2 linked regions of the Rhinolophus ferrumequinum genome follow. The protein of the gene in region 1 interacts with the protein of each later gene in a biochemical or structural test. Links are inferred from orthologs where the notes say so. Each region holds a gene or a part of one and is shown on either strand. Other genes may lie near its edges.

What was found. The genes of interacting proteins can lie anywhere in the genome.
Region 2: of the proteins of H1-5 (region 1) and CCNA1, one has a biochemical effect on the other in vitro, tested with the Homo sapiens proteins (2 studies listed by BioGRID). The link is inferred for Rhinolophus ferrumequinum from reciprocal best matches to the Homo sapiens genes H1-5 and CCNA1.

The regions. Positions count from the first base shown.
Region 1 is NC_046305.1:1,999,113-2,005,430, forward strand, and holds H1-5 (histone H1.5), read left to right. Parts: upstream 1-4,429; 5' UTR 4,430-4,733; coding exon 4,734-5,411; 3' UTR 5,412-5,791; downstream 5,792-6,318. Other genes in the region: uncharacterized protein LOC117014580, read left to right, coding at 24-152, 1,079-1,580. UniProt on the Homo sapiens protein: Histone H1 protein binds to linker DNA between nucleosomes forming the macromolecular structure known as the chromatin fiber. Histones H1 are necessary for the condensation of nucleosome chains into higher-order structured fibers.
Region 2 is NC_046287.1:93,158,521-93,165,864, forward strand, and holds the start of CCNA1 (cyclin-A1), read right to left. Parts: upstream 3,054-7,344; 5' UTR 2,917-3,053; intron 2,813-2,916; exon of another isoform or gene 2,397-2,812; intron 2,357-2,396; exon of another isoform or gene 2,113-2,356; intron 1,742-2,112; exon of another isoform or gene 1,739-1,741; 5' UTR 1,718-1,738; coding exon 1,553-1,717; intron 1-1,552. UniProt on the Homo sapiens protein: May be involved in the control of the cell cycle at the G1/S (start) and G2/M (mitosis) transitions. May primarily function in the control of the germline meiotic cell cycle and additionally in the control of mitotic cell cycle in some somatic cells.

The DNA of each region.
Region 1 (6,318 bases):
CCTTTTGTCCCCCCTCTCCCCAGGCACCGGCTGAGAGCCGTCACCCCAAAACCGGTGTCTTTGGGGTTAAATGGCACGAACTGGGTTCTCATTTCTCATGCTGGGTCCCTCCCTAAGCCTGAGGCCAAGCATTTTGTAAGTTACCGCTCTCTGTAAGTTACAGACCCGGGAGCCAGAGTACTAACTCGGGCCGGTAACTAACTGTCCCGAGCCCGAGGGCCTAACTGCATGTGCAAAGAAGGATCTCTGGCTTGTGCGCCCGGCTCCCAGACGGCTCTCGGCCACCTCCCCCCGCCCTCCGCCTGCCAGCTCCCCCCCGCACCCCCGACGTTGTCTACGTGTTCCGGCGGCAGGGCGCTCCTACAGCTTCGGGGGTTAGTTCTTCAAACCGCCATTTCATTACGCAAAGTCCCGTCTTAGGGCCACCCAAGAAATCTAAGACCTGTAGGCATTTTAAAAATCCTTAATTTGGCAGGGCAGCTACCTCGGGTTACGTTAGAGTGATCTTTGTGAATTCACTTAGAAACATCAATTTTGTAATGCCACCAAAAGTGCATTTGGTTCCCCCCCACACACACCCCATGTCCATCACCTAATAGAGTGGCAAAATCTCAGGTGATTCAAATCTACATCGGCTGTTTTGCCTCACTGAAAGCTGTACTCATTCGCGCTGCACTGTCAGGGGCAGTTAGTTACGACTCTGCCTAAACTCCATCACGACCTTTTACAGAAGAAATTGGCCAAACCTTGTTTGAACGAGGTCTTTCGGTGAATGTGAAGCATGCTGCAGTCTGAGAGGACCGGCGCAGCGCAGAGGCTGGAATTAGAAACCACTCCAAGGCCTTCGTTCAGTGCCTCAGTTCCCTTTCAAGTTCACGAAACTTTTTGTCAACAATTCAATCACGACACGTTTTATTTGTAAAAGTGCAAGGAACTTTCAGGACATTTTCTTAAGGATTTTTGATGCATCCTGTGGGGTTTTCAGTCAGTAAGACCGCAATAGAGGTGGGGAAAAGCTTCCTGAAATTATTGAACAAAGAACTAATCCGTGTGGGGTGGAGGGGTGGGAGGGGCATAGGGTATCGTCGAATAGCGGCGGGCGAGTCCCTATAAATACTGGGATGGCTGATTGTTTCTCATTAGTGTTGGAGAATTGGCTTTGCTTACCCATGGCTCGCACGAAGCAGACGGCGCGCAAGTCCACGGGCGGGAAGGCCCCGCGGAAGCAGCTGGCCACCAAGGCGGCCCGCAAGAGCGCGCCGGCCACCGGCGGCGTCAAGAAGCCGCACCGCTACCGGCCGGGCACGGTGGCGCTGCGCGAGATCCGGCGCTACCAGAAGTCCACGGAGCTGCTGATCCGCAAACTGCCCTTCCAGCGGCTGGTCCGCGAGATCGCGCAGGACTTCAAGACGGACCTGCGCTTCCAGAGCTCGGCCGTGATGGCGCTGCAGGAGGCGTGCGAGGCGTACCTGGTGGGGCTGTTCGAGGACACCAACCTGTGCGCCATCCACGCCAAGCGCGTCACCATCATGCCCAAGGACATCCAGCTCGCGCGCCGCATCCGCGGGGAGCGGGCGTAAGTCTCCTTCCTCAGTTAGCATCCCCTGCCCCCAAAGGCTCTTTTCAGAGCCCCTCAATTGTCAGCGAAAAAGAGCTGTTAATTCTGAAAAGTACACGGCATCCTTATATGAAGTGTGGTGTGTCCTTGGTGACTAAGTCACACCACTGCTGCCCACTTGTGCTCCACATCGGCCGTCTGCTTCTCCTGTGACCCTAACAACCGTCCCGCTTGCCGAGTCCCTCATACTCTGCAGTGAGGAGCTGTTTATGGAGAGGCATTACAATGACTCGGTCATTTGAAAATCCAAACAACTTCGACTGCAAGAAGTGATTGAAGGAAAACTGGCCCAAACCTTACAGAAGACTTAACTGGGTTATGCAAATGGGAATCAGTTAAATAGGTAGAATATTCCAGCGCCATTACTTCAGAAATAGGCCTCTTGATTTCTTGTAACACAAGTGTTGCCATGAGTGTTTAAAATCTTGACGGCTTTTTTGTTTTCCAATTTTAGTATACGTGCTGCAGAAGCGAGTGCACCTTTTCTGTTCCGATGTAATGTTTGCAAGTGTATGCTGTGGGCTTTCCATGTGTGACTGGGGAATGGGTGACGATGACCTGTAAGCTGTCATGTAAAATGAGTTCCCAATAGTTCTGAGACAATCTAGAAATACTTGTGCAAGTGTTTTTAAAATATATTTGTCTGTGATTGTTTTGTTTTGTTTTTTTCTATGGAGAATCAGACTAGGGATGAAATCCAGCATGCCGTTTTAAATCTTCCTTGTTTCCACACAATTCTGAGTTTTCTAACCAAACATGGCTGCGTCCCATATTTCCACTTGTTTAGTTTACTCTCGTGCTCTTCGTATTACATGACTGTCAGTGCCTCATTTTGCTGCTTACCTTTTTTGGGTATACACCCTAACTTTAGGAGGTAGCAGTTCTATGAGGGCAGTTTTTCTCCTGATCTCTGGCAGATCAGCCACCTGGGCCTTCCCTTCCTTCCCGTGTCTGGATTTGCCCTTCCAGAGAGAGGCTTATATCTAAACCATTGGCTCCTTGGAAAGCTTTTTGAAAAGTCTCAGAATTGATTCAGAAAAGTCTGATGAGGCCAAAAGCCTCTGATTACAAATCAGTCTGGAGCTCCTGTAGTGGCTCTCAGGTGTAGGGACAACTTGGTGCTGCTTATTCCAAGTTTCAAAGGTTGTTCTCTCCCCATCCCTTTGAGGACCTTCCCATCATACAGACCCAGGACCAGGAGGTCTACCTTCAAACATCTGCCGACAGTGAGCTCTATAACCTTTGGCAAGTCACGCATCTTGTCTCTAGGCCTTAGCTGACAGAGCTGTAAAGTGTGATGAATGAATGGAAATCTGTACAGCTTCCTGAGATTAGTTCCTGGCACTTTGTAAATGCTCAGTGTATATTACCTCTTATTGTTACACTTCCCTCTCCTGCACCTTTAAGCATGGAGGGATTCCCCCCGAATCTTCTAAATGTTTTGTGATTAAAACAATGAGAATTGATTGGTTAGAACACTTTCTTGTTAAAACCTTTTCTTTAGTTCTTGATTTGCATTGTTCTGAAAGAGGCAAGCTTGTGGCGATATGCCACGATCTGTGTCTATGTGGATGCATTCAAAACACAGCATAGGTGCCAGGTAGTAAATATTGTAGGTTTTGCCGGCCACGTATGATCTCTGTCACGGTCTTTTTCTAACACAATTTAAAAATCTAAAAACCACCTTTGAGTAAGGACCATACAAAAATAGGCCTCTGTCCAGTTTGGTCATAGTTGACTATAGTTTCAATTCCAGGAACTCCTAGAGAGAAGTGTGTTGGCTGCTTCACCAGTGTTTCACAGGGAAGAACTAAGTACCGTCAACTGCATTAGAGATCAAAATCATGATTTGATCTCCCTTAGCATCTAGGCCAGACACAAAATCCGATCAACCCCTTGCCCTACTTTCGTTCCAAATAAATAGCAAACTTCATCTTCCATTCCAACCTCAAGATCATTGCCTCAGTTCCCTTGAATGTTAATGTTTTCCTGTATTTTCCTGAATTCAGGAAATTCCCAGTGCACCGTTTTTATAGTAGCCAATTATTTTTCTAAAATATAGGTCTATTATCACTTAATAATTGATGTCTCCTGTCTGCTCAGCGAAGAGGGTGTTCCTGACTGTAATTTGTTAAATACTGACAGGGATTGAGGAGTTTGAAGGAAGACATTGGGAAAAGCAGGAAAACCTGACAAAGTCCCATGGGAGCTAAATAGATTGTGCTTTTGTGAGCTACTGGAAGCCCTTGAAAAATTTTTAACAGGTTTCAGAGGTTTTCTGACACATTATCTGGGCTAAGCATTTTTCATCCTTGTTTTAATAGATTTGCCTAGGAACTAAAGAGAGAACACATCTCAATCAAAACCATACAAATTAAAGTTTGAATTTGAATCCAGGTCGTTGGAAACTGAAGACAAAGCAATTGTTATTTCTCCTGCTGCAAGGTAGAAGTCACTCTGGCAACTGAACATTTCCAAGATGGAAACTACAGACACTGGCACTGAAACACCTAAGAAGCAGAACCGGTTTTTAAAGTCATGTCTGTGTGGCTGGTGTGGGGCTGTAGGCAAGCAGGCGCTCTGTGCGTGTGTTACTTGCTACAGTTAGAAACAAAGTTTATGCCCAAAAGAAGGAGCCTAGGGTCTTTCCTCCTGCAAAAATCAAAGACCAAACTTAGAGAGAAAGCCTTTTAACACACGTTGACTTGATACTTAGTAGACATTTGGTGCAAGATGCAACTAAGTAGCAGGATGCCCAAAGCCCGTGGATTCCTATGGAAAGCTGAAGGGATTTTTAAAAAATATCTTTCATCAGTTGCGCGTGATTCATGAAAACACAGACAAGTATGTGAACCTGGAAGCTGTTTTCCACCTTTGGAGCTTCAAAGCGTCAGATTCTGTACCGTTGATTTCGGAATTTAATCAGATGTTTGGGAGTAAGAAACACAATTTGGGAGTCCAACCGCGAAAGGCGGCCGCCTGAGGGCGGCGGATCCGACGCCCCACCAATCACAGCGCAGCCCCGGCTTATATAAGCCGTAGCCCGAGCCTGGCAGTACTGCGAACTCGCTCTTTGGATTTTGGGTCTCTTTCTCTGGTAGCTCCTCCCATCGCCATGTCGGAAACCGCTCCTGCTGAGACGGCCGCCCCGGCGCCTGTAGAGAAGGCGCCAACAAAGAAGAAGGCGACCAAGAAGGCAGCGGGCGGGGCCGCCAAGCGTAAGGCTTCGGGCCCCCCGGTGTCCGAGCTCATCACCAAGGCGGTGGCCGCCTCCAAGGAGCGCAGCGGCGTGTCGCTGGCCGCGCTCAAGAAGGCGCTGGCTGCCGCCGGCTACGACGTGGACAAGAACAACAGCCGCATCAAGCTGGGTCTCAAGACCCTGGTGAGCAAGGGCACCCTGGTGCAGACTAAGGGCACCGGCGCTTCGGGCTCCTTCAAGCTCAACAAGAAGGCGGCCTCCGGCGAGACGAAGCCGAAACCCAAGAGGGCTGGCGCCGCCAAACCCAGGAAGCCCGCAGGGTCCACTCCCAAAAAGCCCAAGAAGGCCGCGGGGACAAAGAAAGCCGTGAAGAAGACCCCCAAGAAAGTAAAGAAGCCTGCTACCGCCGGTGTCAAAAAGGTGGCCAAGAGCCCCAAGAAGGCCAAGGCTGCTGCGAAGCCTAAGAAGGCCGCCAAGAGCCCAGCCAAGCCCAAGGCGGTTAAGCCTAAAGCGGCCAAACCCAAAGCCGCCAAGCCCAAATCGGCAAAGCCCAAGGCCACCAAGGCCAAGAAGGCAGCTCCGAAAAAGAAGTAGGAAGCTGGTCTTTAAAAAGGCGACAAAACCCAAAGGCTCTTTTCAGAGCCACCCAGAGATCTCTGGAAACAGCTGTGCACTACAGACACCTACAGCAGACCTGGGGGTGTTGACTTGACCATTCACCAAGCAACCCACTACGATTGTAGTTGTTTCGCTTTTAGGTATCCTTGGTACTTAGACTGAAAGTGACAAGTAACCCAGTGTGACCACAGGGCTAAAGCCATAGATGGGTTATTGCCAGCCCCTTCTGTAAAAACTATCCGAAGATCTCATCTGTACTAATATTTTTTTAACTTTGAACACGTGCTTATTTACAAAGGAACATTTAAAAACCCCGCGCTACATTCTGATTTGTCAGTTTTCAGTTGATGGGTAGGAAGTTTAATGTGATATATTTTTGCGCCACCAAATTTAACTTAATGTTTTTTCACGTTTGCCACAAGGTCGTCAATGCACTTGATTGACCTCACTGAACTGATTGAGGAGTGGCTCCCGGATACTGAATCTGTCTGAAATAGCTACTTCCTGAAACCGCTTGCCAAGCTAAATTTCCAGTGCACACTGCTGATAGATAAATTAGGAAACTGGAGTCCCAGCTCTTCACTACAAACATACGGGCCTCTGAAGTCTCCATCTCCTCCCTATCTCGTTCTCTGTGGAGCACTCTCTACGGGGCGGCTAAGCGCTTCACTTTTAACGCTGGGCGTCGGCTGCACTAACCGTCTTAAATTACTTGTGACAAAGTATCTCAGTATCCATTTTAATTGGCCATATTAAGTGTTTAACTTGTAGTTTCAAAATGGATAGTTTCACCTCTATCGGATGTTTAACTACTGACACCTACCGACCAACTCTGCAGTAAGTCACTTTCAAACAACGGCCACGAGCGCTTTCAGTGAAAAAA
Region 2 (7,344 bases), on another chromosome or scaffold:
ACTGCACACGTGGGGGTTCACCTTGCATAATAAGAGCAGGGATGTGAGTCCTGGAGCAGGATGGGGATGACAGAGTTATTTGGCACATAGAAGCATATGGAAACTCTTTTGGTTGCTTGAATATTTTTAAGAAAATAGGACACAAAGCCATTAACTGAGAGTGAAGATGAAGGTCGAAGTTTTGGAGGATTAAAGAGAGAAGCAGAGTTGAAAATAGATTTCTCAGGTTGCAGAAGAATAGAGCAGGGAAATGTAGAGGAAGTGCCAGGCAACGTTATGAGGTTAACTAATGGTTATGAATTTAAAGTGAGACCAGTCAGCATAGACATAATTGCCAATTTGTAAGAAGCAGGTTTTTAACTTTAAAGATGTAAACATTGCTGGGCAAAGTAGCTTTGTTCAAACTAGTGTTTCCTCAAAAATAAGACCTAGCCGAACAATCAGCTCTAATGCGTCTTTTGGAGCAAAATTTAATATAAGACCCGTTATTGTATTATTATATTATTTATATTATTATATTATATTACATATTATTATGTTATACTGGGTCTTATAGTAAAATAAGATGGGGCCTTACATTAATTTTTGCTCCAAAAAATGCACTAGAGCGGACTGTCCAGCTAGGTCTTATTTTCGGGAAACATGGTATCTTCCCTCAATTTTTCCAACTCTTTAAACAGATCACTTTGGGTATTTTTCTGCCACTAATCAGATGTCACCAAAAGGCTTGAGCAGTCAGGTCAGTAGTTCAGGAGTTTCTAATCTGGCCTCTTCCACCATACCTTCTTTTTTTTTTTTCCTTTCTTCAACCTCTTAAATTTTCTCTCCTATAATTTGGAAAGGATACCCAGCCTGCCTACTTCACTGCCAGCATCAAATGTGCAACCCAGGCTTAAAGCATTGTTATGAGGACCTTGTCTAATAACAGATTTGGGGAAGCTTTTTTTCTACCTCAAAATCCATTCTTAAAGATCCAAACCCCTCATCTGCATTTAAATGTGAATTTGTTTTCCATCTGTTAAGGGGTCAGTTAAACAATATCTGATGGCCCATTATCTGTTTGCCCAACTGCCCTGTCAGTATTGGGGAGAATGCTGCTTTCAAATCACTTTTTGAAATCATCTAGTCTAGCCTGATCCAGTCCTGATTCTAAACTCTCTCCAGTGAACGTGGCAAAGATTATCCAGGATTGCTTCACGCAAGTATCAGTCTGAACAGCACTCAGACCTGGAGGAACCCAAGAAGGAAATGTGAGGAAATGTGCTTTTAGCCCAGCATGTAAATGACTTTACATATACTTAATCCAAACAATTCCTAGATCTATTTGCTCGATTGGGGGTGGAGAGGCGGGAGAAGAGAAGTGGAGAAGTATTCACTATTTCTAGCTGGAAAAGGGACGCAACAAGATGATCCTTAAAAAATGTAATGTCCCAGTAGTCCAGGAATACTCAAGGGGTTTGCAGGTAAAACTGCAAGAGAAACCCACCTCCCACCATGCTGACAGGAGAACCTTTCTCAATAAGCAGCTTCTCCAGGGCTTCTTGGTTGTTACCTGGCCACAGGTCCTCCTGTATTGCCCATTCTCAGTTAGCACACCTAACACTGTTCTTTGTGGGGGATCCTGACCCAGCTGGGCTCTGGTTATCATCTGACAGGTATCAGGACCTCGGGACACTGGAGCCAGGACTACTCCAGTCTTGGAGCTGCTGAGATGCATAGCCTCAGTCTTCACAGGCTGCTGCTGTCAGGGAAGGAGAAAGACAAGCCGGTTAGTCAACCTCTTCCACCAGGGGCTCCAAGGAGGCACGGATTTCTAGGAGGGAGAACACTAAGACATCTGATCTTCCCTGCAATTATTAGGGCTGAAAGGGCACGAGCCACTTGTGCACGAGCACAAGCTATCAAAGCTGCTTTGAACCAAAACGGTGATTTGGATCTGTCAAGGATTTCTTCCAAGGCCTGTTTGAGGGCTGGAAGGAGACAGCCGGACAAACCTCCAAGCCGGGATACTAAGCTCCATGTTACCTGGGCGTCTAAACCTACAATAGTTCTGGTTTTTACCCGCTGCGATGCTTATCCCCACCCTGCCTGCAAACAAAAGACCGAGAATACATCACAGAGAAGTACGTCCCCTTCCCAAGCGAAAAGCAGGGTGCTCCTCCGCGGCTCTCCTTCCACCAGACACAAGGCCTCACAGCAGGCCTTGCTCTTCTCAGCCTTATATCTTTGTAAAAGTCTCCAACAATTAGCAAGTGCACACGAGGATTGGGGATGAGGGGCCCCCGGAGGGGGCGGGGCAGGAGTGCGACCGAGATGTCGATAGATTCCAGCGGGCAGCTGGACTCCCAGCGACCACCGCCCCAGCCCTCGGCGCTAATTACTTTCAAACTCCCCACCCCCTCACTGCGTCTGTTGAATCAGCCAATCAGCGGAGCTCCCGGGCCTCGCGGGGGGCCGCTTCCATGCCAACCGCTGCTGGCCTACGCGCCCGGGGGCCGCATCGCCATGGCGACCCCCTCACCCGACAAGCTCCGGGCGGATGCGCTGCGACCCCCTAGGCGTTCAGGAAAGGGCGGGGCCAACGGGTGGTGGCCCCTGACTCCTCCTCCGCTGTCCTGTCCGGGTGGGCTCGGCGGGCCGTCACCATCAGCACTGCGCCCCTTGTGGCCCGCGCCCCCGGCGTGGCGGGGAGGAAGTCAGTCCCCGCTATGGCCCGGGCTTTGGAAGAGACAGGTTCTGTGAATCGGTTCTCCCAACAGCCGCTCACTCCACCCGCTAACGTCTTTTCCGCCGCCCGCTCCTGAGAACCTTGGCTCGGGAGAGCGACGCGGGGTCCTCGGGGCTGCGCAGGCCGCGGCACCCCGACAGCGCCCGCCGGAGGGCGCCGCGGCTCGCTCCCCTTCTCGGTTCACGCACCTACACTTCCTCCTAGAGACAGGTCAAGAAGCGGCGAGTTGGCCCCACGTTTCAGCCGCGGCCTCCTAATCCATGGTGGCGGCGTGCCTGCGGTCATTTTGGGTCTTTGCGCACCAGAGGTCGCGCCTCGCCGGCCGAGAGTCTTGTGCACGTGTCCTGGCAGGGCGGGAGAGGAGATTTGGGGTTTTATGGTCGCATGCGGTGCTTGCCATCCTCACAAGAGGTCTTCCCCGACGGGTTCCGGCAGCCAGGGCGTGGAGCGGGTCCAGGAACGCGGAGATAGTGGCCCAGGAAGAGGAAGGAACGCGGGTGGCAGCGATGGGGCCTGGGACATTGAAGGGGGCAACAGTCAGGCTCCAAATCGGGGGCTGGGCAGGCTGCCTGCCCACATGGGGAAGTAAATCCAGAGTTGGGGAGGGGATGGCAAGGAAAGGTAGGAAGCACGGGGAGCCTTATATTGAGGGTAGAGATGGGGGAAGGGGCCCTAGCCACGCGGGAAGGGAGGAGAGAGAGGGTCCTTGAAACCAAGCACCTGTTGAGGTGACTGGCAAGCCATGTAAAAGAATCTGTTTTTTTAAATATGTGTGTGTATACATATATATAGTTTATATAATGTGACTGCTTTTGTTTTTAAAAAAAATTTTAAATACCCGTCTCTAAATCTCTAAAGCCCACCTCAAAGGCCATTCAAATGGCCACTTAAAGAAATGGTTATAATCTTCCTTATTTTGAATGGAAATGATTATTAATCTTACCCTCCCCCATCTCTTAAGTGCTTTTTATTAATGTTTTCACCCATCGAGTTGAGTATGCATTATTTTAATATTTAAGGTAAATTTAAATATTCTACAGAAAGTGAGGATGAAAGCATTTGATAGAGTCAGATATTAGTAGGAAGTTGAGAAGCATGTTGGAAATCAGTGCTGGATGCAGGAGTGCAGAAACGGGTCTTGTTCAATATGAAACTATAATAATTGCGTTTATCACCGACTTTCATTCATTGGGAGGCAGCAATCCCCTTGCACCCCTGGATTTCTATGCCTTTGAATATGAAGGCAACCCGGGAACTCGGGTAACATCTAGATTGCTGCAACAGATGAGTCAGAGGCAGGCAGACAGGGACCAAGTGCTCCGCTTCGCAAGGTGCCTCTATTTGGTGGAGGAAAAGAGCCTTTCTGGCCTCCAGCTTCGCGCTGCTTTTGGAAGTCTCTCCGGGAGCCTTCCATCACCAGGCGACATTGTTGTGATTTCTGGAGACACTGAAGGCTTCAGTGGTGCATTACGTCAAGGACTCTGGGGGAGCAAGGCCTGCCAAGAGTCCCGGTTACTTTGGCGGAGACAAGATTTCCCTGCACTCACGTGATCCTCTCTGTGCGTCCTTTTTGACCTGGTTTCCTGGACAAAAATGTCCGAAAACCTCACACTCTACTTTTCTAACAAAACAAAGGAGCCAGTGTAATGTATGTTCCTGGAGCCTGTCGGTTTGATCCTCTTTTCTGAGGTTGAAGCTCCAGTGGGGGAAGGGTAGCGCTGGGCTCCTGCAGGGCAACTCTTTGAAGTTGGGTGTTCTTTACTCAAATCTGGTCAAGACCAGCAGACAAGTACTAAAGTGTCTAGTGTCTCTCTGCTGCCTTTAGTTTGAAAAATGCCTTTATAAAAGAAAATAACCAGGTGGGGCCCTGGGCTTATTTCATACTGCTTTCTCTAACTCCTGTAAACAGCTGCAGCCTACTTCAGTCTTAATACATATAAAATATTATTGTTACCATTATATGTTATCATTTTTAACCTCTCCCCATCCACTTTGTTAGATTTGGCAAAGGGAAATGACATGTGACCTATGATTTTACTCTGCTGCCTTAAAATTCAGTATTGAATCATTACATTCCTCTGGTTAGATTTTAAATTAGTAATTCAGATGAATATTTATATATATTTTTATATGTGTGTGTATTTATGAGTTCAGATGTTTGTATAACTTGTGCAATACTTATGGCTTTCTTGACTTTAAAAAAATCACTAAACATTTGTTTGAGTAATGATTTATGGCATAAAAATAAACTCAGCTGACAAATAGATGCAAAATTTTTATTAAAAAATTAAACAAAAAACTTGGTCTTATAATTAAGAAAAATAGGAGACAGAATAGAACGGACTTTCTCATAAATTATGCATTTTAGTGAAACGCGTAATTATAATTTTGCTATTATAACAAAATCAGGATTAGAACTCAGTTAAGTAGATTTTAAATGTCTGCATGTTTTATGTAAACTATGCATTTGGTATAAATTATATTGAGAAGTGAACAACATAATTATGAATACATCTTTAATGTCTAAAATATTTGGTGTAACTTACATAATAAAACTTTCTTAGCCTAATCTTGGTCAGTATTTACTGCTTGAATGTGCTCCACTAGTGTTGACTTTAGGATTGATTTCCATAATAAGGATGACAGCTGAATTCTTTACTACGGATTGTTTAAATCCAATAATCCTATTAAAATTGACTCCTCCTCCTTCCAAATTACAATTCAAAGACAATCTTTTCTGTTTGCCAGCAATTACCTGGCATTTCAGAAAATGTTATTACTTCTGTTACATTTGCTCATTGTAGCTAGTAATTAACGTCCTGTTCAGACATGTCAGTTTTCATTAATTTGTGTGAAATCAAGTTGATTTTCATCATAGGGCTGAAAAAGATGAAAAAGTAGAAGAGCCAATTTTTTTTTTAAGGACAGAGAGCGGTCTACTTAGAGATATATTTTGTCTGTTCAGGGGCATGTTCTGCCATTTTAAGTTATACGTTTAATTTCAGAACATAGCTATGTGGTAAGATGAGGAACAGATTTTGAGGGTGATGGGCGATTTGTGACATTTTAGCTCCAGGGACAATGATGACCAACAGATCAAGTAAGTCCAGTTTGAGAAGCAACTGAAAGTTTGCTGGGTTAGGAAGCATATACCCTCAGGTGGTGCAAAGTGGAGCCCTTAGTACGTAACAGATGAAATAAGTTTCCATTAAAATTTGTAGTGACTTTTCTTTGAGCAAATATAGTTTTAATACATACATGAAAGTAGCCAAAGTTTCCTAGTCATTCACTCATTTTACTAATATTATTTGAACATCCATCTTATACCAGGCAGTAGCTGGGGATGGGATTAAAATTAAAAATGATCCCTGCCTTCAAGGAGCTTTGTGTTCCCTGCAAGAAGAAGGTAAACACATACCGTGTTTCCCCGAAAATAAGACCTAGCCGGACAATCAGCTCGAATGCGTCATTTAGAGCAAAATTAATATAAGACCGGGTCTTACATTGATGTTTGCTCCAAAAGACGCATTCGAGCTGATTGTCCGGCTAGGTCTTATTTTCAGGAAAACGGGTAGTTAGAGTGCAGCATAATTAGTGTTTATTTCATAGGGGTGGGAGACACAGATGTATAAACGGAGCAGTTGGAGCCTAGAGATACGGAATAACATATGTTGCTGTGGAGATTTGGAAGCAGTATCCAGATCTGACAATAAACATGATTAGAGTAAAAAAAATTGACAGGGCAGATGGGATAGTCCATATACAGTGTATCCTAGAAATGGGGGAGCCCAAAGCACAAGAATTTTCAGCTGTGTTTATCTAGTACCTTCCAAGGAGAGTAATAAACTGTGATTTCCAAAAATACCCCTCAAGATTGTCTCCTGGCTCTGGGACAGACTCCACAGCAACGATTTCATATAGAAGTCAACCTCCCAAGAGCGTGGATGAGAGGAAGACAGTTCTGGTGACTTCAGTTACTATGAGTCAGTCCGTAATAATGTGCTCAAGTAGAGGTGCACTACTAAAATCAGATCCCTGTGACTGCAGGGTTGAGATCTCTGGCAGTAGCTGCCTCAAGATTCTGCCCCAAGGGAAAAATAAGTTTCAGTGGAATAAAGGAGCCATTATGGTTTAAACATTTTGAAAAGCTTTAAGTTGCCAGACCTTTACTGAAAATTTATTAGAGGGAGTCAAGAACCTGGATTTTATACAATCTTTCAGAGGTCTAAAATTCATCTGAGGACTCATATGTTGATATATTCATTGCATCATTAAAGTTAGCTGTCATTTATTAGTTATATCTTTTAAATTAATAGTCCTGTATATGCCAGTTTCTCTGTGCAAATCAATTATTGTATCGTCAGTTCTACGACACAGTTGATTCCATAAAATGGATTTCCTGTGTTTTACATTTATCTCTATTTCAATCTCTAATTGAAAATATGGAATTTCCACATCACCTACCTGAGTCTGATTGACTGGATGACTCCCATATTTGAGGACAGGCTCATGTCCTGTTCACTCCAGCAACCATTTATTAATGTGGTCGGCTTGTTAATTTTTTTTGTTAATTAAATCCTACTGCCAATAAACCACAGAATATGTGTAAAATTTGT